4 separate regions of the Mus musculus genome follow, and all the other regions are reported to be linked to region 1. The links are microRNA targets in miRTarBase. Many come from high-throughput screens and were not tested one by one. Region 1 holds a microRNA gene; each other region holds the end of a gene's coding sequence.
Evidence for each region. The annotated mature microRNA mmu-miR-384-3p reads AUUCCUAGAAAUUGUUCACAAU and lies in region 1 at 3,357-3,378, shown strand. An mRNA with a match to its seed (bases 2 to 7 or 8) in the 3' UTR can be bound and repressed. Matches are read on the target gene's strand: a 7mer-m8 pairs with bases 2 to 8, a 7mer-A1 pairs with bases 2 to 7 and ends in A, and an 8mer does both.

Region 2: miRTarBase lists Pbld1 as a target of mmu-miR-384-3p. Seed matches in the 3' UTR shown: 8mer at 2,544-2,551 and 8mer at 2,750-2,757.
Region 3: miRTarBase lists Syt13 as a target of mmu-miR-384-3p. Seed matches in the 3' UTR shown: 7mer-m8 at 4,452-4,458 and 7mer-m8 at 3,759-3,765.
Region 4: the mRNA of Hk2 is a reported target of mmu-miR-384-3p. Seed matches in the 3' UTR shown: 8mer at 2,718-2,725.

What each region holds. Positions count from the first base shown.
Region 1 is chrX:105,341,482-105,347,669 of GRCm38, reverse strand. Mir384 (microRNA 384) reads left to right here and starts at 3,301; the gene lies at 3,301-3,388.
Region 2 is chr10:63,074,799-63,080,986 of GRCm38, forward strand. Pbld1 (phenazine biosynthesis-like protein domain containing 1) reads left to right here. Exons shown (of 9, transcript NM_026701.3): 8 at 263-325; 9 at 1,551-3,162. The coding sequence ends at 1,663. Among named protein-coding and RNA genes, the nearest start is that of Pbld1, 16 kb to the left of the region's middle.
Region 3 is chr2:92,952,401-92,958,588 of GRCm38, reverse strand. Syt13 (synaptotagmin XIII) reads right to left here. Exons shown (of 6, transcript NM_030725.4): 6 at 2,538-5,226. The coding sequence ends at 4,922. Among named protein-coding and RNA genes, the nearest start is that of Gm13791, 36 kb to the right of the region's middle.
Region 4 is chr6:82,722,628-82,728,815 of GRCm38, forward strand. It overlaps Hk2 (hexokinase 2), which reads right to left. Exons shown (of 18, transcript NM_013820.3): 17 at 6,085-6,188; 18 at 2,398-4,827. The coding sequence ends at 4,683. Among named protein-coding and RNA genes, the nearest start is that of Gm32480, 11 kb to the left of the region's middle.

The DNA.
Region 1 (6,188 bases):
CGCTGTGATTAACCCTTACCTGGTTTGTTTTCTCCAAACTTTATCTACCCTAGTCAATTAAAACACAGAATCCCATGTAACCACTAGCATTCTTTTCTCCCAGTTGCTAGGCTAAGTGTATGGAGAGATGATGTTAGTTTTCAGCAGTACATATGCATCTTACTTTAAAAGGAGGGAAGAAGGGGTTGTTTTTCAAGAATATTTGGAGGCAATTTCAGGAGCTCATACTGGCTTAAGGAAATACTGTACCTCTGAACTTGAATGTTCAAGCAGGTCTGACACCTGAGTTCTCCCATGCCCATGGCAGACTTGTATTCTTCATTTCTTTCTGTGAACACTTAGAACTGCTAAGTGCTTTCTTTTGTTTTTTACCCCAGAGCCTCATCTGATCTTTCTCACAGATGTTGGGGACTCAGGGATTCCCCGTAGGTTTGAGTGTCTTCTCCCTCATTACTGGCCTTGGACTCTTCCCATAGCTGTGTTTCCATCACTCACATGGACTTGGCCATGTGGCAGCTTTGCGGATGGGCTCTTCAGCCATCTTCCACAAACCCAGGCCAAGAGGTGACATTCAATCTATCCTCAGTGTGTACCTCCATCCTGCCAAAGTTGTAAAACTGTCTGGGATTATAGTCCCTACCAGTTATGTGCACGAGGAGGCATTGATCAATTCCCTCATGATCTCATGGCACAGCAGGTAGAGCTCATGTGGTTTGCAACAGGAAAGCCAGACTGTAGCAACTAGCCTAGTGCTTGCTTCAGGCTCAGAGCTCCTGAAACTCTCAAGTCATAAGGCTTGGGAAGTTCACTAGGTATTTTGGAACCCATCCCAAACACAATTAAATATGCAGGCAAAGGGGGAAAGAATACTTAGAATACAAATGGTCTAGCTTAATGAGGGTTATGGGGTGACCTGTCCAACTGGTGTTCCCATCCCAGTCACTACAGCTCTGCCATCTTCTCAGTGAGTCTGCTGGAGTCAGGCTTGTCTGTGTCTAGGGGCAGCTCTAGTGGGCTTGCCCAGTATCCCAGGCATGTGCAACACTTCCACCTAACTCAAACCACATGCAGAAGATCATGTCGTACTTGGCGCATAACCAATTGAGAAAGGCATCAGAGGGTGTCCAGACTTTAGCTTGTTTGAACAAATGTTCAAAAAAACATTTCTGAAGGGATATTCCAGAAAAACATACCCGCTCAAGGTCTTAAAACAGATGTTAGGGCTCTAGGAATGGGTTGCTTTGCAGCTACTATTATCAAATACAATAAGGCAGGACCAAATCACTTTAAGGTTTGAACGAGGGTGTATGTTTAACTTTCTTTTACATCTTTATTGTCCGCCATGGGAGGATGTGTCAGAGGGCAGAACATAATACCAAGAGGCAACATGCTATTGTGATTCACTCTCTGGCACAAAAGTAAGGCAGGCAAAGGCTTTGACCCCTGACTGGCTTTGTGTGTTAACCTATCATAGTCTCACTTTGTTAAACTACAAAACTAATAGCAACAGGGCTAACTCTATTGTTTTGTCAAGAGAACTAAAAACTGCATTTAAAGAGAGTGTATACCATGTATTGAGCACTCAGCAAGTATAGCACCACTATCAACTCTATCACCAGCAGAGCTTTAATGTTTATTATTACTACTACTTTTATACTATTAGCACTGCTGCCACTGCTGCCACTAAGACAGGAAACAGGATCTATTGCCAAGTTAGATGATGAGCTGGAGAGGGCCTCAGCTTTGTTTTTCTAGCTTATAGAGAAGGTAAGCATGCTGAGAAAGAAGATCACAGGATTATAATTCTGGATTGAAAGGAAAAGAATGAGAACAGTACAGAGTTCTTGTAGTTTATTTTCCTCATCTCAGACCAAAGCTCTACTATCCTTCATTAGTTTGCTGTATAACCTAGTTGAAATCACTTTAGATAATGGATCACTGGATCCTCTTGAAAGTAAAACCCCGTGGCACTTGTTTGCTGGCAAGTTGACCTGTATAAGAGGATAGTCTGTGACTGGAATGTGTATGAGCAACTGGTCCAAAACAGGCAAGGCAATAACTTCTAATTCTTATCAGCGAACCAGCTCACAATCCAGGTGTATGCTATAACCACCACCAGAATCATTTTTAGCTACTGACCAACAGTGATATCCTGGGCTCACTCCTAGAAGGGAAACTTTCTATATAACCATCAACTTTGTCGTGGTATCTATTTTATTATGTTGGAGATATGACCCCAGGAACTTGTATATGCTAGGCAAGTACTCTATTACAGAACAATATCCCAAGATATATCTGTAATAACTCTTTAGTGAACTTTATCCATCTATCCATACATCCATCATCACCTCCCCTACAACCATCCATTTACCATTCAACAGATATTGTTAAGCAATGACAACATCCAAAACATGGCTATAGGTGCTAGGAATAAGGCAGTGAACTGCTGTCATGAAGCTTACAGTCTAGCTGCCTCATCTGGACAAACACAGTGTATCATGAAAGTTCACTGGAAAAGTTTAGTCTAGATTTTTGAAACAAATGTTAGCCAGTACTTTTCAAAAACTGGACATGACTTTAGGGTGCTTGGGTGGAGAATGAAAGACTGTCTCGCATCCAGCCTAAGTAAAGGTTCTCGGGGTGGCCTGGGACAGGGCTTTAGGAACAATGTGGCTGGATTTTTGATTTCTTTGATGAACCTGGTTGAATCAAATTGTGTAGTTACTATGCTGTATAGCTAAGTTTTAAAATGTGATAAGAAAACAATGTGATTTTGTTACTGTCTCACTCATAAACTGGCTCGGAAGGCAGTTAGTTCTCAAAGCAGCATTTTAAAACTATTCTGAACAATGGCAACATCAGAACACATTTTCAGGGGGACTGCTTCAGACAGTTCAGTACATATCTTGAGTGTACAGATCCTAATCTATTTAAAAATAAAAATAGCTAGTAGGCAATTTGTTCAAAAATAGTGCAAAGAAAGAAATGTAGACTTACATATTTTAATTCATTTTTGAAATATTTATGCATTATATGTTTGGATTTGTGATTGCTGTAAAATTAATTCACTTTAAAAATAATGAAAGGAATTTTCCTTGGCATTTTTCTTCAGTCAGTTGATGCATTGTCTTCTGCATGTGACTCTTCAACGTGAACAGCCCAGCTACTTAGCCATTGTCTAAGTTTTATGTAAAAGTCAATCTTCCCATTACATGGCAGGCCTGCAGAAATGCTGCCTTCTGCTTTGAAGCCAGTGTATGATCAAATTTAAGTTAACTGGTTATTTCTCTTGCAGCGGAATGTTAAATCAGGAATTGTAAACAATTCCTAGGCAATGTGTATAATGTTGGTAAGTCATTCCTAGAAATTGTTCACAATGCCTGTAACATATATTCAGCTAGCAAGATTCCTGAAATACATAGGAAGCCTTCAAGAAGCTAACTGTACATTCCTAGAACATCTCTGGATCATGACATTTGTTTTTGTAATCAATTCTACTTATTTATTTGTTAATGTGTCTAGGTGTTAATAATTCTGATAATAGCACTACTACTTGATTTCCATAGTTCCCAAGGGTATCTGCATTATTTGATAGTACTTTGGTGATGCAGGGTTTTAGACATGCTAATTTTAAGAGGCATTAGAAATAAAAAAATCAATAATTAGGAGCAAAGGCAATTGTACTTCTTAGGTGAGCCAAAGCCCTAAACTTTCTTACTCCTTTACAAAAGCTTTAACTAAAGCTTCATTGCCTTTCTCCAACCTCACTTCCAAACAAATTTTGATATTCTAATTCCATAAGTCATGGGAAAGAAACAATAATATCTATCAACCTTACTGTCATGATTTTTTACCTTACCCTGTTCACTTATATGTTAATATGTTGATGTTTGCATAGTCATTATTTAATATGTATACTTGATTACTATTTATAGTTATCTATTTTCATTTACTATTTTGAAATGATCTGCCTACTGGTTTATATCAGCATAGCTGTGGGTTGTATCTTTTCTTAAATCAATTTAGAAATGAAAACAAAATGTTGAATGAGTTTTGAATGAGTTTTGGCCTTGAGTGTTATGATCATATCAAGCCACTGGTTGGGTTTCTTTGCATGTAGACAGTTAAGTGGATTCCCTTGACTTCTATTTGACTAGTGGAAATGGACCATCCTGGCAGCCCACTCAGATGAAGCCAAGAAATGAGCTGGCTATGCGGGCTTTGGATCAAGAAATATCAAAAGTATGGACAAAGTCTTTTGACAATTGATTTCAGCATCTGTACTGGTATACATTGGCTGATATAGTAATATACAGCTGAGCAATATTTTAAATGGTCCTCAGTTTGGTTAGATGATGACACTCAACCCCAGTCTCATCCCTACTGTATTCAGACATGACCCATTTCCCAAGGCCCAACGCATTTCTGTCTGTCAAAGTCCATCTAGTTGTTTTGGTCCTCTCTGGTGTATCTTCTTTTAATGCTTCTATTCACTTAAGTCCATTTTGCCTTTCAAACTGAATTGCAATGATCTATGTACTGTGTAATTTTCAAGAATGCCTTACACTTATGGTGACCATATTTTCTAACCAAAAATTAGAATATATCTTCTGAAAATTTAGGTAGGCTATTTGAAATTAGCTGTCCTTGGGAAAACATATGCTTATTCACTTCAGTGTCTCCTACCCATTGAACAGTCAGCATTGGGTATGACAATAGGAAGATAAAGACTGTAGATAACATTCACTAAGTTGCAAGTAAAAGGAATGGATGTTTTTGGAGTGTCTTGTATAGGCAGGCATAGCTTAAGTGCTTTGTTACTGTGCCTTAGGAATAACATATTGGTCCAGAAAATAAAAATAATAGAAGAAATGAAGAGGGACAACAAAAATACCCATAGTGGGAGACATAGTGGAAGGATTGTATCATACAATGCAGCAGGTAAGGGAAGTCTAAAAAGAGGAGGCCTTGTCAGAAAGACAAATACAGAAGTTCTTTGCTATATTTCTTAAAGGTATGATTAGACAGATTTTTCAACATCTCTGTGTACTGCTGATCTTTTTACCTTTACTCCTCAGATTCTGCCAATGCTTGGATTACAGGAGATGCTCCACCCCCACAAGTACAAGTGTGGGTTTAACAGCTTCGAGTAGAATATAAACACTGGCTCACTACTGAACATTATGTTATTGTTCAGGCAACCCAACTTTACATTTTGAAGGTTTTGTGTTTCATCTTGAACTCAGAATGAAAGACCTGGACCTTCATCTTCACAGTCCTTGATGTTTCATAGGGAATCTCTCCAGTCATGCTGCTATACTCTTTGAACCATACATGAGGTTTGATATGTAGAACAAGCATTTTGGAATTAAGCAAAAATATTTGAGGCAGAAATTTAGCTTCCAAAGACAAAGCTGTTTCTTGGGCTGTCTGACATGCAAAAAAGTGATGGAACATTCTTTTATATCTTTAGGCATTTTTTTTCTACTTGCCACACCTCTGTCCCTAATTTGAACCTTCAAATATACCTTGCTTATGTCATATTGACAGGGACTGCAATCTTCTGCCTGCAGTTTCCCTATACCTCTTTGCCATGAGCTGTAGATTTCTTTCCTTCTGAGCCTGTTCAAAACCATGGAACAATATACTGTCATTCCTTTTCTCCCTGAAAATGAAAAGGTAGCACTGCCAGATGATGCCAAAAAGATGGGAATGTTAACTTTGGGATGTGGGTAGATTACTTACAGGATCAGTAAGGATAAGCATGTTAAAGTAAATACTCCAAGGCTTTTTACCAGAGGCTCATCCCTTCTGATGTGTCATTAGAAGGATGAGTCACGAGAAATTACTGTAGCATGATTGAGTATTACTGAATTCCTAATCAAAGTCCAGCTGGGAAGACCAGCTGAAGGGAACTGGCCCATGCTAGCATCCAAGAAAGCTGTGGATTTGGCAGGGTGAAGAACTTCTTGGCTATGGAGGAATGAATCAGGGTTAACAAAATGTTATGCATGGTTTTACCAAAAGGCTAGCACTGTATATATGGCAGGCCTGTTGTCTTCTAGTGCTCTCTGACTGGTAGGTAAGACAAAGCAAGATCAACACCTGAAGCTTTTGAGATGCATGGCTAAGATCTGTTGTGGTGTGTCTTGTAAAATATAGCCAATGAATTAGATTCTCTCTGCAAT
Region 2 (6,188 bases), not on the chromosome of region 1:
ATCTGGCCTAAACTCCTTTTGAAGCTCATAAATTCTTAAAACAGGCCTCAAAAACCTCTGTGAAAGATTCCAGGGATTTTGAGAGAACCCATTTATAACCCCCCATGTTTAATTCTTTATTCCACACTCTGCTGTGGCCTAGTTGACAAAAGATTAGATCATCCAAGGTTCAGTCAAACTGGCTCAGTGATTATCACTTACACAATGAGGGGCACACCATTTCCGTTTTCTGTGCTTGTTCTCAGAGCTTCTGTCTTTTCAGGATCTGCACACACCGTTCTCAGCAGTTACTGGTCCCAGCAGCTCAGGAAGAAAGAGATGCGAGGTAGGATGATTCCTCCTCTCTCATTGGATGCTTGGGTGTTAAATTCAAGGCTTTGCAAATGTTCGACCATAGAGCCATAGCCTCATCCCTTAACTTTTGGGAACAAGATCTTGCTATGTGGACCAGGTTGACCTCAAATTTGCATATACCTCCTGAGGGCTGGGATTGTACAATACTATACCCAGCTCAAATACCTCCTGAGGGCTGGGATTGTGCAATACTATACCCAGCTCAAATACCTCCTGAGGGCTGGGATTGTGCAATACTATACCCAGCTCAAATACCTCCTGAGGGCTGGGATTGTGCACTACTATACCCAGTTCAAATACCTCCTGAGGGCTGGGATTATGCAATATTATGCCCAGCTCAAATCTCTTCTTTGCCTCATTTTAGGCTTGTATCTATTCTCATATGCATTAGCTTCTTAAAAATGTAGTAAGAGGTGGTTGGTAGTAGCTCACATCTTTAATTCCAGCACTCAGAGGCAGGCGGATCTCTGAACTCTTGGCCAGCTTGATCTACAGAGTGTGGTCCAGGACAACCAGAGCTACACAGTGAAACCCTGTCTTGAAAAAAGCAAACCAGGGGTTGGGGATTTAGCTCAGCGGTAGAGTGCTTGCCTACCACTTGGTCCTCGGCTCTGGAAAAAAAAAAAAAAAGAAAACCAAAACAAAAAAATACTAAGATATTATGACTCATGTGAAATTTCCCTGTAACATCTCCCCTTCAATGATCTCCCACTCCCAGCCCTCTTCACCCCTGCCTCCCCAAACACAAATAAGTGCTTAATAAGTGCTTGATGAGTATAATTAGCTTACTATGTAACTTTTGAGAAGGACAACCCCTTTTCTCTCCTTTGGGTGAGTATAATGACTTTCTGAGCCCCTGGAAGACTAGGGCTGTGCCTCTTTTGTGACCTGGCACATACAACTGCTTTAATATGCAATGAAGAAACAAACTCACTCTATTCATATCAGAGCTGAAGGTGGGACCTTCTCAGAGGCCCAGGAAGGAAGGTCCGGCAGTGTGTGTGCCACTGTGTGTGGAACTCTGGGGCTGCAGGAGAATGGGGTGGAGGTGGGAGGGGCCGCGGACACAGGGAGGGGGGCATTTATCCTGGAAAGTGGCCTGGGAGGCGTCTTGGGTTTGTTATAGTCAACCCTGCCCTGGGTGGTAAATCCCAGGGGAAATGCTCTTGATTGGCACCAGGTTGTGTTCTCCTCAGCCTTTCAGTGTTCCCGCCGAGGAGGGGAGCTGGACATTTCCCTGCGACCTGATGGGCGCGTTGACATAAAGGGCGGAGCTGTTATTGTCTTGGAGGGCACGCTGACCGCCTAGAGATGCTCCTGCTGGGCTTGGGGCCACTGTTCCACAAGTGTCTTCTCTAGAGCCCAGAACCCGACCCAACCCAACTCAACAGCAGATGCACAGAGCTTGGTTCAGTCGTCGTGTGAACCCAAAAGGGAAGACACCTGATGGAGGTGCGGTAGTGTCTCCAGAATCCTTTCCCGATGGTGGGCTCTGAACTCTGCCTGTGTGTGCATCTTCAGTCCCCACAGCAGATAGGGATGCTGCCCCTTCTTTTGATCATGACTGCCAATCAAAGTGAGAGGTGCACTGATAAGGAGCCAGAGAATGCCATTTCAATTGAGGTATGGGTACCTTAGGGCATTTCACAGCCCTTTAGAAGAATAAATAGGTGTGTAGAATGTTGTGTTGCCAAAAAACATTTTCTCTCCGCCCCCTAAGGTTCCAAAGACCAACCAAGGCACACCACCACCAAAGCTCCCCTAGGGCACCAATGAGTTATCAGACTTCTTTACAGAGCAGAGGTGAAGGTTTCCTTACAGCGGTGTGGGTTCCATCCCCTAAAATGTGGCACCAGAAGGGCTTTTACATAGCATCAATGGTGACCTTCCTATAGTGGCACAGATGGAGCCCAGCTCCCCTAATCTCTGCTGGCCTGTGTCCTCCAGCCTCTTTGAGGCCATGTGCAATTAGGGCAATGTTGCATACATAGGAGGTAGTGAGTGGCTGGGTTCTCAGAGGAGGCCCCGTGATCTCCCCATCCCTCTATGAGGAGATGTAAACAGTCGCCAGACCCAGCTGGCATGATCTTTGGCAAGTGCGCACAGCTGAACTCCTGAAGATGGAAGTTGCTTGGCTCAGGGTATGGTCCTGAGCAACATGCAAAAGTCCATCTCCTGATGTAATAATACTAGGAAAGATGAGGGGGCTGGTGAGATGGCTCAGTGGGTAAGAGCACCCGACTGCTCTTCCGAAGGTCCGAAGTTCAAATCCCAGCAACCACATGGTGGCTCACAACCATCTGTAACATGATCTGACTCCCTCTTCTGGAGTGTCTGAAGACAGCTACAGTGTACTTACATATAATAAATAAATAAATCTTTAAAAAAAAAAATACTAGGAAAGATGAGTAGACTGAAAACTGTTGGAGGCTGTGCTGCAGGGCTGGGGTACGTAGGACCGTATGGGCTGTGAGGTCAGCAAAATGAAACAGTTCATGCTGGGGGACAACGTAGAGTAATTTCAATGAGCTAAAAAAAAAAGAGTTGGGGGCTTGCTGAGTGGCTGAAACGCTTGCTGCCAAGGCTGACACCCTGAGTTCGAATCCTGGGACCCATATGGTAGAAGCAGAGATCCAACTCCTACATGCTGTCCTCTGACCTACGTACACATAGGTGCTATAGCATGCACACATCCACACCTATACATGCATACCCCAAACAAATAAATGTAATAAAAATAATTTTCTTTTTTTTTTCACTTTATATGTTGGATGTCATCTGTTGTAATTATTAAAAAACAATCTACTCTGTCTCCGGCTACTCTCCAGCCACGGTGGTCTCCCCTCCCCCATGGCTATCCCCAACTTCCCCGAGGCTCGCTCGGCTCGCTTGCTGCTGAACTGCTCAAATTCCCAATCATCTGTCCCTTGTGGCTAGTCTCTAACCCCCCCCCCCCCAGCCACGAATAAAGAAAACTCTTTATTCGTGCTTGTAATTGATCAGTCAGATTTATAACAGTAAATTCTCAACCCCCAAAATGCCCACTCAAAGAACTCAAAACGCGAGTTATTGATACAAGCTGCCCACCTTGATTGGACCAATTGCCTTATCTTACTCTACGGCTCTTCTGTGCTATCCATAGCTACCTGTGGCCATTTCAAGCCACGTGGATCTAGCTCATCTACCTCTCCTATAGGTTCCATCTTGTCTCCTTGTCTCTGTCTGTCTCTCTGTTTCTCTGCAAAACTCTCAGCCCACCTTCTTTTTCCACTGTCCAATCACAGAATCTAGCCTTATATTTTACTTGCCCTCATCTGCGTATAGACAACAATCTACACTAAAACTTAGGAGAATCTCAGAAAATGAACAGAAGAAAGGATGCCTTTGTGTGGGCTGGGGGTGGTCCAGCAAGTAAAGCCCTTGCCGCTTTGGATACCTGTAATCCACACAATGACAAGTGGCTGGAGTCCCCACATTCATTTGTCAAGATGAAAGAATCCACCTCTCACTGACCCCTATCCTTCCGTCCCCATTCACCACCCCTCCCCACCTACCTCGAAACTCCCAGGCCAACTAGTTTGGCATAGAAGGTACAGTGGCAAACACCTAGAGAGGCTCAGCCTCAAACAAGGTGGTAAGTGAGACCGAGGACTGTGGAAACTCACTGCCATTCTGTCAGGCACAGGGGTGCACACCCCTAATCCCAGCACTAGTCGGGCAGAGGCGGGAGGATCAGAATTTTAAGGCCTGTTGCAGCTATGCAGCCAGTGAATTTGAAGTCAGCACGAGCTTCCGGAGACCCAGTTTCAAATGCCAAAAACTACACCAAACCGGTTAGAATCTATAGAAAGGACTCGGGAATCCCAGAAATCGTAAGTCATCCCTAGCACAAGAGAAAGGGGAGGGGGCTCCTGGAGAGCGATCCCTCCATCAGCATCAGCACCATGTGGGAACTTGCTAGAAAAGCAAAATCACTGTTCCAGATCACCTGTGTCTGGAGCGCTGCGGTCTGGGGCTGATACTTTGACTTTTAACAAGATCTCTAGGTGAGGGGTTAGTTTGAGACCCACCTTGCCCTGGGCCTTCCAGATGTATCAGCCATTTACACGGCTCCCAGGACAGTCACCTCTGATGACATCTAAGCTCAGAAGATCCCTGACTGCACCATATACCTGCTGCTTAAAAGCATACTTCCTAGGAGTTGGTTTACTGTCAGCTTCCAGCGGGGCCTGGCTTGGAGACATTAGCTGTGCTCAGGTGGGAGCTGTTGGGTAAAGTGTTAGCAACAAATAGATAGTTAAGCAGCCATGACTTATTCATGATGAGTTCATTATACCTGGCCGTGCACCTCCGCTAGCTAAATGGAGCTTTAAAGGAGTTACTTTATTAATTGTCATGGTGCTAACTGCAGACACAGAAGGATCGCTAATTAAACATGCAAACCGTATGCAGCACGTTTTGGGTTGCTGAGGCCACGGAAAACCTATCTTTTTTTTTTTTTTTTTAAAGGGGGAACCAAAACAAACTTTATTTTATGCAATATTAAGGAGTTCCCTTGGCAATGCTAATTAATCACAGTGATGCCCTCCAGCAGGAATAGACTCCATACACCAATATATGTACAGTGGTCTGGCTAGGCTCTGTTAAGAGGGAACATGTTTGGTCTTGCACTACAATTTGTTTATGTTTTCTTCTGTTGTGATTGACCTCCCTGGCTTCCAATTTTGGGCTAGGTATACATTTGGTGTTGGTGGGATGGCTCAGTGGAGTGGTTTCCGTGCAGTCGTGAGGGATGGAATTTGGGTCCCAGCACCCATGGAACAAACTGGGAATGCCACAAATATTTGTATCTCCAGCTCTGAGGGATCCAACATCTTTTGGCCTCTGTCTGCACAGGTCTGTGCAACCAGTGTATGCATATACTCACACAGACACATAACTAAATAAAAAGAAATCTTGAAGAGTTTGGTGGAACTACGCTTGTATCTGTCTTTTTAGACCTCCACACTTCTTACTGTGGGCCCTACACCTTAGAGTAGAGAGACCAAGCAGTGGCTTTAACCGATTCAATATAGACACGGCCAAATGGCTTTTATGGTAGGCGAAAGGGCTGGGTACGTAGCTCAGTTGGTAGAGTTCCAGCTTAGCATGCATGATACCCTGTGTTATAACTCTAGTAGCCCATAAAATGTGGTGGTACACACCTGTTATCCCAGCCCTCTGGAAGCTGAGGCAGGGGGATCAGGAATGTAAACTCACCCTTGGCTATGTAATGAATCGGAGGTCAGTGTTGGGTGCATAAGACCCCATCTTAAAACATAATCATAATAGTAAAATGCAAAGAGGGCCGAGGAAGGAACTCAGTGCACAGTTTGAGGCCCTGGGTTCAATCCCTAGTAGAGAAGAAATAAAAGGAAGACACTCTACCTCATCTCTGGCCTCTACACTAGAGTGCATGCCTGAACAGAAATACATATAACATGAAGAATTTCTGGGTTTTCTTTTACACACTTGATTTAAAAACAAACAAATAACAACAACAACGAACTGTCTAACTGGAACTGCTTCACAGGAACTGCTTGCCCAATAACTGCTTGCTGGAGCGCCATCCTCTTCAGTCATTGGCTGTCCTGGTGATGCTCTTGTGGACTGCCTTCTCCATCCCATCACCTTTACACCAGCACACCGTATACCTACAATAACTCCACAGTGTACACACTGTGAGATATAAATAAAATGAGTAAATTCATTAAATAAAATTAAAATAAATAGATTAAGAGCTGGTGAGACAGCTCAGCAGATGAAGGCATTATCCTGTGAGATATCACGGTATA
Region 3 (6,188 bases), not on the chromosome of region 1:
AGGTAAGGTTGGTTTGTAGGAAAGCAGCCATGTTTGAAAATGACATCTAATTGAGAGGCAGACGAAGTGACGAATCAGAGAAAGATCTGACAGAATGAGTCAGGGATAGGATGCACCCAACTCTCATGAGGACAGACAGGAAAGTGAGCTACCTAAAAGCAGGGCAGTTGAGAATGGAGGGCAGTCCAGTTGAGTTTTGTTCACGTCTGTTCAGTTCATGGAGTTTAGAGGCAGGTTTCCCAAGCAGAACAATTCAGCAAGAAGCTGAGAGAAGCCAGTTTGAATCAGCCAGCTTGGAGAGGCATTTTGAGCCAGAACATCTGAGTTGAACCAGCAAACCAGAGCTCAGAAAGAACTAGAAAGGGTGAACTTATTCAACAGTAAGCCTCCTAGATGACAATTACATCTGGTGATTATAAGTTAGTTACACAGTTCCCCAGTATCAGGTACCATTTGTGCTGACTCACTTGCAAGGGGCATTCAGGGGTGGGGGTGGGGAGGAACATTCTTCAGCACAAAGTTAGCACCCAACCTTTCCATCTCTTGATTATATTCCCGGCAGATGTCTGCTCTGGAGGGAGATGGATGTGCTCCAAAGGGTATTGCCCAAATGGTGGCATCCAACTAGCTCTAAAATGTAAGAACTCTTGGGTGCAAAAATACAAGTGCCCAGCAGCAGTCAGACACAGATGAGACTCAGTTCTCAGAGCCTCAGGTGCCATGCTCAGGGGAGCATCAGTAGCCTTCAGAGGAACTGTAGCAGATGCCAAAGCTTTATCCAGTGCTGGGCAGAGAGAGCAGGTTTCCTTTAATTTCTACAGGAGACAGTAAACTAAAGATCTGTGAGAACCAAATTGTTACCAGGCTGTGCTGGCTAGTTTTATGCCAATTTGGCACAGCTAAAAGGCATCTATCTGAGAGGAGGAAACCTCAGTTGAGAACAACGACTCCATGAGATCAGTCTGCAAGGCTGCCTGTAGGGAATTTTCTCTCTTAGTGATTGATGGGAGATGGCCAGGCCATCGTGAGAGGTGCCACTCCTGACACTAGCCCTTCTTTCTATGAGAAAGCAGGGTGAGCAAGCCATGGGGACGAAGCCAGTAAGTAATACCCCTCCATGGCCTTCTCATCAGCTCCTGCCTCCAGGTTCCTGCCCTGTTTGAATTCCTGCCTTGGCTTCCCTCAATGGACTGTGATGTGTGCGATATGTAAGCCAAATATAAACCCTTTTCTCCCTAAGTTGCTTTTGGTCATGTTGTTTCATCATAGCAATGGCCCTAAGAAGCAGAAATACAAAAATGTTAAAGCTGGAAGGGGCTTGCAGGTCATTTAGTCCAAAATAATTGTATAGATATGAGCGCTTAGGTGCAGAGGCAGTTACCTAGCTTGGGGATCTAATAGTGGCCAGGGACAGTTACCACATAGTGTTACATGGTCATGGCTCTGACTCAGCTCCAGGCTGAGGTGAGCATGATTTGTTGTTGAGGTCACTTCACTGGAAAGCCCTTGATTCAGTAACCCCCACCGTTTCTCTTTTATAGATAGCCATAGCAAACATTAGTTTGGGGCTCCAGTGAGCTGTCTTCAGTTACCTGTGAATTATAGTGAATACTATTTGGCTGTGTAGAATAAAGTCCACTTAGCCCATCTTATTACAGAAATACAAATGCCCCCAGTTGCCATTAAGACGTAATAATGGGAATAGGAAGTATAAAAGTGAGGACTGAATGTGAAAATATCATATGACTGACAGGATGTCTTTCCTGGTTAAGAACCTTCCAATTTGATCGGCCATGATGACACATCTCTTTAATCACAACACTCGGGGAGAAGTGGGCAAATAGCTGTGATTTTTAAGGCCGGTCTGGTCTACACAGAGTTTTCCAGGACAGCCAGGAATATAGAGAAAGACCCTGTCTCAGAAATAAGATAAAGTGAACCCTTCAAATAAAAATCAAATATCCTTTTCTTACTCTCAAGACACCTCCTTCAGAGGCCAGATCTGAGATGGGTCACCTGGGTAGCTTAGGGTGGCAGAATTCCAGGAGGCCATTGCCTCTGTCTGTCCTCTGTTTCCTCGATCCTCCACTGATGGGGTGCTGGGGGGAGTCTTGAAGAGTCTCAAGAACCCACTGGATATTCCTTACCAGGAATGAAGTCAAAGCTCCAAAACACACACACACACACACAAACACACACACACACACAAACACACTCCCCCACAAACACCCACACCCACACACCTACACTCACAAACATTTCCCCACACACAGACACACACATGCACACGCTTCTTTCTATTTTTCCTAGCAGCTCCACTCACTTTTCGACATTTCCCCCAAGAGACGATACATGTACATGGGAAACAACGGCAGAGAGAGAGAGGGAGAGAGAGAGAGAGAGAGAGAGAGAGAGAGAGAGAGAGAGAGAGTGTGTGTGTTTTAAATGTACATCAATAGAATGGGCTGTGGCAGATCCATACAGTGGAATATTATACAGTTGTGAAAGAGAAGTTAGTTAGAGCCACATGTCTGCATAAAGCTTAAATTTTTAATGTTGAAAAAAAATGTGTGATGCAATTTAAGAATTGAAGTAAAACTTGGAAACACACAAATACTCACTAGTGCTCAGGGATCAAATGATCATTTAGTAAAAATATAAAGGAAGGCTCAGAATAACAAATCAGAATGTAAGATCCTGGTCTTCTCAGTATAGGGCACAAGAAGAAAATTCAACTGTGGTCGTCAAGGTTTATTGAAGTTGGCAGAGGTTCATGGGTGTTTGATACACGAGATTTTTTTTCTGAATTTTATACATCTAAAATATTAATGTAAAGGAACAAAGAGAAACACTGGGCTGCCAACCCGATTGGAAAACGATTTATTTACCACTGTAAGATTTTGTGCTCCAAAGTGTAACCAGACATGTGACCACGATGTCTCATGCGACTTTTTGTGCTTTTATGTGGAATGGCATCACAAACACGCAGCATCTAACAACAGGAAACAGCAAGGGTAGAAACACTGCACAGGACCAACTTTCTCCTCCAAAGATTCCCACCTCAGTTCAGGCCAGACACTGCCCCTTCCCCCGGGGCCCCTTTACATCTGAGAGCTGCCCGCCTGAACAGCAGTCCCGGACTCCTCTTATCTGATGTTTCCGTTAAGGTGATAAGCTACTCACTCGCCCCCAGAGCCTTCTCTAATCAGAATGGACAGACACATGCACGGTCTTGGTGGACAAACACTCAACAAATAGATGCCTAGTTGTCCTGGGGAGAGGATTCACAGAGGACTGGGGTGAACTCCTAACCTCCCAGCAGTAGCCCAGCCTGGAATGGCCTCTCACTTTATTTCCACCTCTTTCCAGAAATCACTCCCTGGCAAAGACATAGAGAGGTTCCTTCCCAAGCTGATTCGGAGGTGACTTACAGGAATGGCTGGAAACAGATTAAGCCGATGTAAAAGGTGACTGAAAGTTTTTGGTTCCCAGTCTAACATCTCTGAGCAATTTACAGAGGAGGTTTTGGAGAAGAAGCACAGCCAACGGAGGAGCCAGGAAGTGCCACCAACTGACCAGTAACAATTGATGCCCGCTAAGATGCCTCTTGCTTACCTCCTGAAGCTGGACTGGCAAGCTCCCATGACATTGGTGCTGTGCTATAGGTGGCCACACTGAGGCGCTGTGGAGCAAGGAAGTAATGACAACTCGAATTCCGGCTCACAAGTATCTACCCCTGCAGCTAGCTACTTATTTGATTCCTAGTGGGGCATCTATTGGAAATATCAACAGGGGCAATCAAACCTAGCTTTTTGTTATTTCCAAGTTAAAGGACATGTCCCCCAAACTGGAGGGAGGCATGTTATCAAGAGACCACGTTTTCTCTTTAAAGTTCATCTACCTCCTCATTTACATAGCCAGATGGAACAAGCCAAGCTCAGAGCTACTTCGTCCTGAAGTACAGGCATACTGAGAAGAACAGGTCTGTCACATGGAGTCAGCTTGGGGGTGGGGGGGGGTGACATGACAGCTGTCCTCAGAATGCCGCAGACACTCCAGAGGAGTGGCAACCTAGGCCTGCCAGGGAACGGGCACTCTACGTGTGATAAAAAAAAAACAAACACAACCCACTCCAATCCCTTAAATAAAACAGTCAAAACACACAATGTAGCTCGAGAGTGGAATATGAACAGCAGAAATATAAAAAAGAAGAAATAAAGTAAGCAGAGAGTTCCTGCCTTCACACTGTCCTGGTGCTGGGCCCCCGGAGATCAAGAGGAAAGGCTGCCTGGATAGGGGAGAAGGGATCTTATCAAGCGCAGCCCCTCCTGCTCTGCTCCAGAACCCCTGTGCTAGCTAAGGACAGAGGCTTGTGTATTCCACCGGAACATCAGTGTGGCATGACCCCCCAGTGGCCCAGAGACCTGCTGGCCAGCCAGTGATTCTCAACCTTCCTAGTGCTGTGACCCTATAAGAAAGTTTCTTGTGTTTTGGTGATCTCCAACCACAGAATTGTTCTCATTGCTACTTTGTAACTGTAATTTTGCTACTGTTATGAATCATAATGTAAATATTTTTTGGAGATAGAGGGTTGTGATACACAGGTTAAGAACCACTGCTTCAGCTCAATGTGAGCAGGGGCTGCCGACTGAGGGTACCTGGCACATATCTTTTTCCATAACACAGATGAGCATGATACAGTCTTCTGAGTGCCAGTCCCACTCACTGTCCTGGCGCCACCGCTCACTTTTTAGTATTGGGAATACAGTAAGAGAGGAATGAGGTCTTGGCCTCAGCCAACACGTCTGCATCTGTCTTTGGGTATAGGCATGTGGACAGAGCACGAGGGATGACTGACAGCTGAGCCTGGAAGATGACTGTGTCCAAGAAAGACGGTCAGTGGCCGGTGGCAGGTGGCCGACTACAGGTGCAGTTGGTGCCACATGGCGATCTGCCGGCGTGGGTTTTTTAGCATCTCCTCCCAGTGGCTGCGCTCAGAGCCCGAGGCATGCAGGCCTAGGCTGCAGTGGCCCAGCTCGCAGCTCGGCCCCTCCTCGCCCTGGCCCAGCACCTCCAGCTCCACACTGGATGCCCGCAGCAAGTCATCCGGTAGCTCAAACATGATCATCTCGTTCCACACGGGGTTGATCTTGTGCTTGGCCCGTTTTGTCTGTTTCTTCTTCAGCTTCTGAGCCTGGTGTTTCAAGGTCACCTTGACAGACACATCTAGGGAGGGGTACAGAGAAAAGAAAGTTGTAGGGGAGCAAGTGAGCTGCTTCTTCTTGGGGTTTCCTACATCTCCACTGGACCGTGCATTCTCTCAACAGTATTAAGTATCTACCAGACGTCAGGAACCGGTCTAGAGATAGCAAAACAGACAAAGATGCGTGTCTAACCCTTGCATTAGAATGTGGAAGACTGGCCATACAGGATGAATACCTATCTCTGTAAGGTTTGGAACCATAAACATTTCAGATTTGGTGTGTTTTACAGACTAGGGGATATTTGCATATATTATGCAAATTGGAATTGGGTCTCAAGTGTAAGCATAACATTCATTTAATATTCATTTTTGCCTTGAACCTCGGACTTTACATATACTAAGCAAGCATTCTAGCCCTGAGCCAAATCTCCAGTCTTCTTTTCTCTTTTTCTTTGGTGACAGGGTTATACCAAGTCACTACAGTTGGTCACAAACTTCCTCTGCAGCCCAGGCAACCCTGGTCTTGAGTTCTTCCTGCCTTCACAGAAGCTGGGATTCCAGGCCTGCACCCCTATGCTTTCGTGTGCCTCTTACACACCCAGCCTAAAGATACTTTTATACAACATAAAACCAAGTGTTCATGGAGTAGAGTTCTCCACTAGTGGTCAGGAGATTCCAGAAGTTGGCATTTATTAGATTTTCACGTTAGAGATTACATTAGCCTGTCACAGAACATATGAGGTCAGTGGGTGGCTCAGACCTGAGCATGTCAGATGGCCTCTGGGGAACCACTTTGACCATAGCCCTTTCTAAGTGACTTGACAAACCAAGTCAGGGGCAAGGGCTTAAATGTCCTCTAGTTTGCTATCAAATCAGACCAGACAAAAGCTCTCTCCACCTTTAGCTTCTCCATTGTCCAGTCAAGCCTATGTTTTATCGTTAAGATGGTCCTGGCTGGCTGAGTTTTGTTCATACGTCTCTTTCC
Region 4 (6,188 bases), not on the chromosome of region 1:
ACACACACACACACACACACACACGATAGATAGATAGATAGATAGATAGATAGATAGATAGATAGAGATAGATAGATAGAAATATGTAAACAAACCCTGCTTTGAGAGAGGACACAAGACTCTAGCCAACTATGTTTTGTGTGTTTTTATTAAAGCATCACAGAGAGCTAAGGATCTATCATTTAGTTTAGAGCACACAGCATTTTCAGGCCCCTGTATTTCATCCATGTCCTTAGAAAAGGAAATAAAGAAAACCAGAGACGGCACGAAACAATGTATGCCTCATCCAGACTCGTACAGAAACGAGGTGGCGTCAAGCAGGGTGCTCAGACTGCCGATGGTGAGGGAAGAACAAAAGAGACATGGCTCAGAGGGAAATTGGAAAACAGAAAAGCAAAAGCGGATTGTGCAAAGGCTAGAAAATGCTCTCAACACCGGAGTGCCTGTGTTCCAGCCTGTGGCACCTGGGGCCCAGCCGAAGAAAACAAAACAGGGAGACAGGCTGCCTGGGGTTTGGCTGGGAAACTGCTTTCCAAGCTGGGAGCAGTGTGAGTGCAGTCTGCTTGCTTGGAGGAAACTAATTTTTCCTTGGGAGGATGGGGAGTCAGCCTAGGAAAGAGATACACGTGCTATCCGGGACATTGAGGGCCTCACCGCAGGTAAATGTACCCTAAATCGCACTAAAATATTCCCTGCTAGTCCAATGTTAGGGTCTGTGCGGAGCTGTCTGTGCCCCAGCCCCATCCATGGGACATAACGAATGTAGCTTTTCCATCCCGCTGCCAGAGGCCAAAGTGACCTGGGGAAAGAGGTGCCCACACTGTGCTGAGCAGTATGGCTGATGTTACAGACAGGAACAAGCCAGCTGCAAAACTCAAGAGGCCCAGAGTGGGGAATCTGTAAGAATCTGCTTTGAGGCAGAAAAGCCAAAGAGGCCTCTAAGCTGGGGGGTGGTGGCACATGCCTGGAATTCCAGCGCCTGGAGGCAGGAGAGTCACTTCAAGGCCATCCTCATATACTTAAGTCAGTGGAATGAGCTTTAGAAAGCCAGGCTGGAAGGGAAAACAAAGGACCCACGTGTGCACCAAGAAACGCAGTCCCGCTTGATCATGGACTCAGATTCAGTGTAGGATAAAACTGGACCTCCATGTGTGAGTGGATGTGTGTGTTGTGTAGATCAGAGGACAACTTGTGAGAAACCAATCCTCCCCTTCTGTGGTGGGCTCCAGGGATCAAATCAGATTTGCATATCAAGTTCCTTTATGCTCTTAACTATCTTGCCAATCTTATCACTTTTTTAAGGCAGTGTTTTCTGAAATGTAAAGGCTAGAAAAGTCCCAGACATGCACTCACGGGTGCATGTGAGAAAGTGAAAGGATGGGCTTGGCTGTTTTTCCTCAGCTGTCCACCTTGTTTCTCAAGACATGGTCTCTTATGGCCTGGAACCTGTTGGGTAAGCTAGGCTTGCAGACCAGTGACCTCCAGGGATCCACCTGCCTCAGCCTCCCCAGCCCTGGGATCACAAGGGCAGACCGTCTGGACCTAGTCTCACCGTCCTGCTCCTGTCACTTCTTTAGCTTGTAGTGGCTCCTACCTGTAGCTCCAAGTTCTTGGAAGGATAAAGAGGCCTGCCAGGTTTATGACCAGCCTGATCTACATAGCAAGATGCGGGTCAGCCTGGGGGTACATAGTGAGCCTGTCTCACAAAAGGACTGTCTATAAATGCATCCTCACAGGAGGGTTAAGAGTGCAAGACCAAAGAGCGCAGAGCATGCTGGGCTACAAGGGGTTCAAGTCTACACACTGAGCAACCCAGTGTTTTATACTCAAAAAAGTATAAAACAAGTGTGGTCAGGTGTGGTGGCACATGCCTGTAACCCCAGCATATGGAAGGCTAAAACTGGTCCAGGAGTCTGAGGCCAATCTGGGCTACATGAGACCCCATCTGAAAGTGGTGTTGGGAGAACCAGGGGTGAAGTCCACTGAACAGGTGGCCCTGGGTTCAAGGCTCAACACTAGTCCCATTCTCTCTCTCCCATCTCATGAGTATTTGGTCCCCGGTTAGTGCTGCTGTTTGGAGGGGCTTAGGGGGTGTGCCTTTGTTGGAGGAATGTGTCACTGGGAGCTGCAGAGGGTTTAAGGACTCACACCACTCTGTCTTTACTGCTTGAGGCTCAGCTTCTGCTCTCAGCATCTGATCGTTCACGGCGCTTATCTCCGCCATAGAAAGCAATCACAGGATCCGACCCCCACAGGCTTCAGAATTCCAGAATCCGTCTCCACGGACACTGAAAGATAACAGGCCACTCCAAATGTATCGACCCCATCAGTGATTGATCAGACTGACCAGGAAGTCCTAACTTGCCCCACTTAAAAGATCCAATCACACACTGAATATTTTGAAAAAAAAAAGTTAAAATTTATTAATAATAGTTAACATCACATGGTTAATTCAACTAGTTCTCTACTGTACATGATGACAAAACGCTCACTAGACCGAGTGCCCAGGGATATGAGATGAGTCAAAGGTTCACTGAAGATCACACAAAGCAGCATTAGCAGAGAGAGCTGTCAACCTAGTGCTGGCAGTAGCCAGCCTAGTACTAGGAACACAGCACACTGTCTCATGCTCTGGATTGAAAGCCAACTTCCTTAAAAGTTAGACACACACACACACACACACACATACACACACACCCCTTTTTAAAAAAAAGTCCTTTCCTAGATGGTGCTTGATTTTAAAGTTTAAAATTCAAGATTCGAAAATTTAGTCAGAATCCATTTGTACTCCGTGGCTACCCTCTAGTGCTGCACACATCTATAGGTGGCTACCCCCTAGTGCTGCACACATCTATAGGTGGCTTCGGCTTTCAGTGGTCTGCTTCGGTAACTGCAGGTTGAGGGAGCTACACCAGACAGGCAGTATCAGGCAGGAATCACTCGACCTTCCCTCTGGGCATCCCGGGAGGACCTGGGCAGCCTTCATTTCACTGTACACCAGCTTGTTCGGTTGTAACTAGGCTCTGCTCAGCACAAGTCTGAAAGATGTTCAAAACATGGCTGCCACGATGCTGAGCTTTCTCTTGGTCTTTCTCTTTTGACCCCCGTATCTTGTTTATTAGTGTTACAAGGCTGTTTCCTCTTTATTAAACCTATCCAGGTTTAACATTGGTGGTCAATTTAATATTTTGAAGGGAGAAGTGAACTTTTGAATTCAGAGCGAACCGTGTTGGTAGAGCAGAGAACAGGACATTGGTGTCTTCCCGTTCTTCAAACAGTCTGGAATAAATAACTCGTATAAAAAGGCTAGTCGGCAGCTCGATGCAGCTCAGTCCAAGGAAGCAGACAGACAGCGTGCATCTCGTGTAAAACACGAGACACACCGGAGGTGGGATCTGCTAGGAGGGCAAATAAATGTACAAACACCCCGAGACGCCCCTGAGGTTTGGTCGAGTTCTCTCGATGCTTCATGTGGTCTGCTCCAACGATCTGATGTGACTTTAAAAACATTTTCGCTGGCTTCCTGTAACTTGTCAAACCATTCTGAAACGCCGACTGACCTAAAAATCACATCTTCTATGCAGTGAGAACTTGAAACAAATCCTTTGGTTTTCTTTGCCTAACATCCCGGGTGAGACCTCACTCAGGAAAGCTTCTGGACGGAGCAGCCAGGTGTTGTGGCTTCTTTCCCTCAGCGAACCACCCTGTCTCCATCCCTGCCTCGCATACACCTCACGGAGCAGAGGAAGGTGAAGCCCGGAGGCTGGTGGCGCTCTGCCCATCACTCACCAAGAGATTCCGAGTCTCTCTTCTTCCCGCGGGTGAATGAGGTATTTCTAGAGCCAGTCAGTGTCTCCACCTCATATCCTGAACTACAATGATCTATCTACTCACAAGGCCGAGTCAGAGGAGACCCTGGCCAGCTATATACAGAACAAAGGAACATATAAATACATTACTTACATAATTAACCATTACACAATGAAGGAGAGGACCTGCTTCAAACTAAATAAATTTCAAACATAAATTAAAAAAAAAAAAAAAAAAGAAATTGAAAAGCTACCAAAGCCACCCCTAGCCCCAAGGTCTGCTGCTCATAGATGACCCGTTCAGCCGTGTGAGGTAAAGCCACAGACACTTGAAGGGGGTGTCGAGTCTAGCTTTGGTTTGGGTTCCTCTATTCCAGGACAGCAAATGTTTAGAACCAGCAGGGTGATGCCTACAGGTTGAGCTGAAGAGGGACAGCCATGTAGGCCAGGGGACGTTCCATACTGCTCCTCCTCCTCCTCCTCTTCCTCCTCCTCCTCCCTCCCTCCCAATGCCTGATCTGATGACAGAAGTATCAACATTTCAAGATGTTCTCCACCTATAAATGTCGCATTCAGCTCCAAGATGAGGCAACCATATTCGCAAGACTGTCCCCATCCCATAGGACTGTACAGGAAGTAGAACAGGGGAGGGAACATGCCAGGAAGTGACCAGCAGGAACAACTTGTGAACAATTCCTTACTTCTGATTCTCAGGAAGGCCAAGGATTGGGTATCAAACTCTACAGTGAATATCGGGACAAAAGTCCCAGTCTCTCGGGGTCCTCTCTGCCAAGGAAATGCCAAGAGGTCCATCTCCTCATAATTTAAAACAGGGAAGTGAGGAAGCAGGGAAGTCCCGTCTGCTCCAAGGTTCTATCTCTGCCCGGCCTCCCGGATGCGACAGGCCACAGCAGTGATGAGAGCCGCTCCCTTCCCACTGCCGTCCTCGGATTCCAGGAAGGACACGTCACATTTCGGAGCCAGATCTCTCACCGTCTCATGCATGACTTTGGCAAAGCTGGAAAGATAGAAAAAGGGGATGTGAGTGGCTGGTGTCCTCAAGCAAAGCTTGGAATGAGGAATGAGACGTGGAGCACGGCACCTACAAACTAACAAACAGACAGGCTTGCAGGGGCTAGGACCACACCCAAGCCTTATACCACACCACAGTGGCCAATCGCAAGAGTAGAAACCTCAAGTTTTGGCACAAATGTCTTGAGATGCTGGTGAATTTTCTTCAAAACAAATCAGTTGGTCTGGGGATGTACCTCAGTTGATAATACTTGCCTAGCAGCATAAGTGAGGACCTTGGGTTCACCCCCCGCCCTGCCCTCCCGCCCCAGCATCTACCGAGCACCGTAGCCCACCCATGTCTGTAATCCCAGCAAACAAGAAGCAGGGGAATCAAAAGCTCAAGGTTACCCTTGGCTACATAGCAAGGATGTGCTATGTTGTTAAAGGCCAGTGTGGGATACAAGAGACTCTAGTTTAAAAAACAAAGCAAGGGGTGGGATAGATGGCTCAACACCGGCTCAACACCGAGAAGTACAAAACCCCTTCCTTGCAGGGGACCAAGATTCAGTTGCCAGCCCCTACATGGTGTTCACACAAACAATGTTCACAATACCCTGCAACTCCAGCTCCAGAAAACCCAATGCCATCTTCTGCCCTCCGTAGGCACTGTACCCGTGTCCACGACTTCCCTACCCCCCCACACCTCTACCAAATAATTCAAGTAACCTTTAAAGGGAAACTTTGGGCTAGAGAGATGGCTCTGCGGTTAAGAGCATCTATTGTTCTTTCAGGAGCCAAGTTTGATCGCCAGTAACAGGTCAGGCTGCTCACAACTGACCAGTGCCAGGCAATCAGGCTGCAAGGGTACCATCACTCTTGTGTAATACCCACCACAGAGACGAAAACATATCAAAACGACTAGGCATCACATCATTACAGAAACATCAGTGATACGATCACTGAGAAATACGATCTCTGGTAGTAGTGAACTCCCGTGGTCCCACCCCAAGAGACAGATGATTTGGAATCAGCTACATAATGAATTCAAGGCTATCTTGGCTCAAAACCAAAAGAGTTGTGATCCAGCCTTGAAATTAGCTAACTACACCTGCACAGAAACTCTCAAGCCAGCAAAAGGGTCATCACCACTAATCTAGAAACTAAGCACTAAACCCTCTTTGGAGTGGCTGAGAGAAGGGCGAGAAGAGAAATATACAAGGAGAAGAAGGAAGACAGGACAGCCCCAAGGTCAGGCACTCACTGAGGATGAAGCTTGTACAGTGTCCCGTCCACGCCCACCGTCACTTTGAGGTTGTCCAGTCCACGGTTCTCTCTTATCTTGTCCACCACGGCGGCCATGCCTGC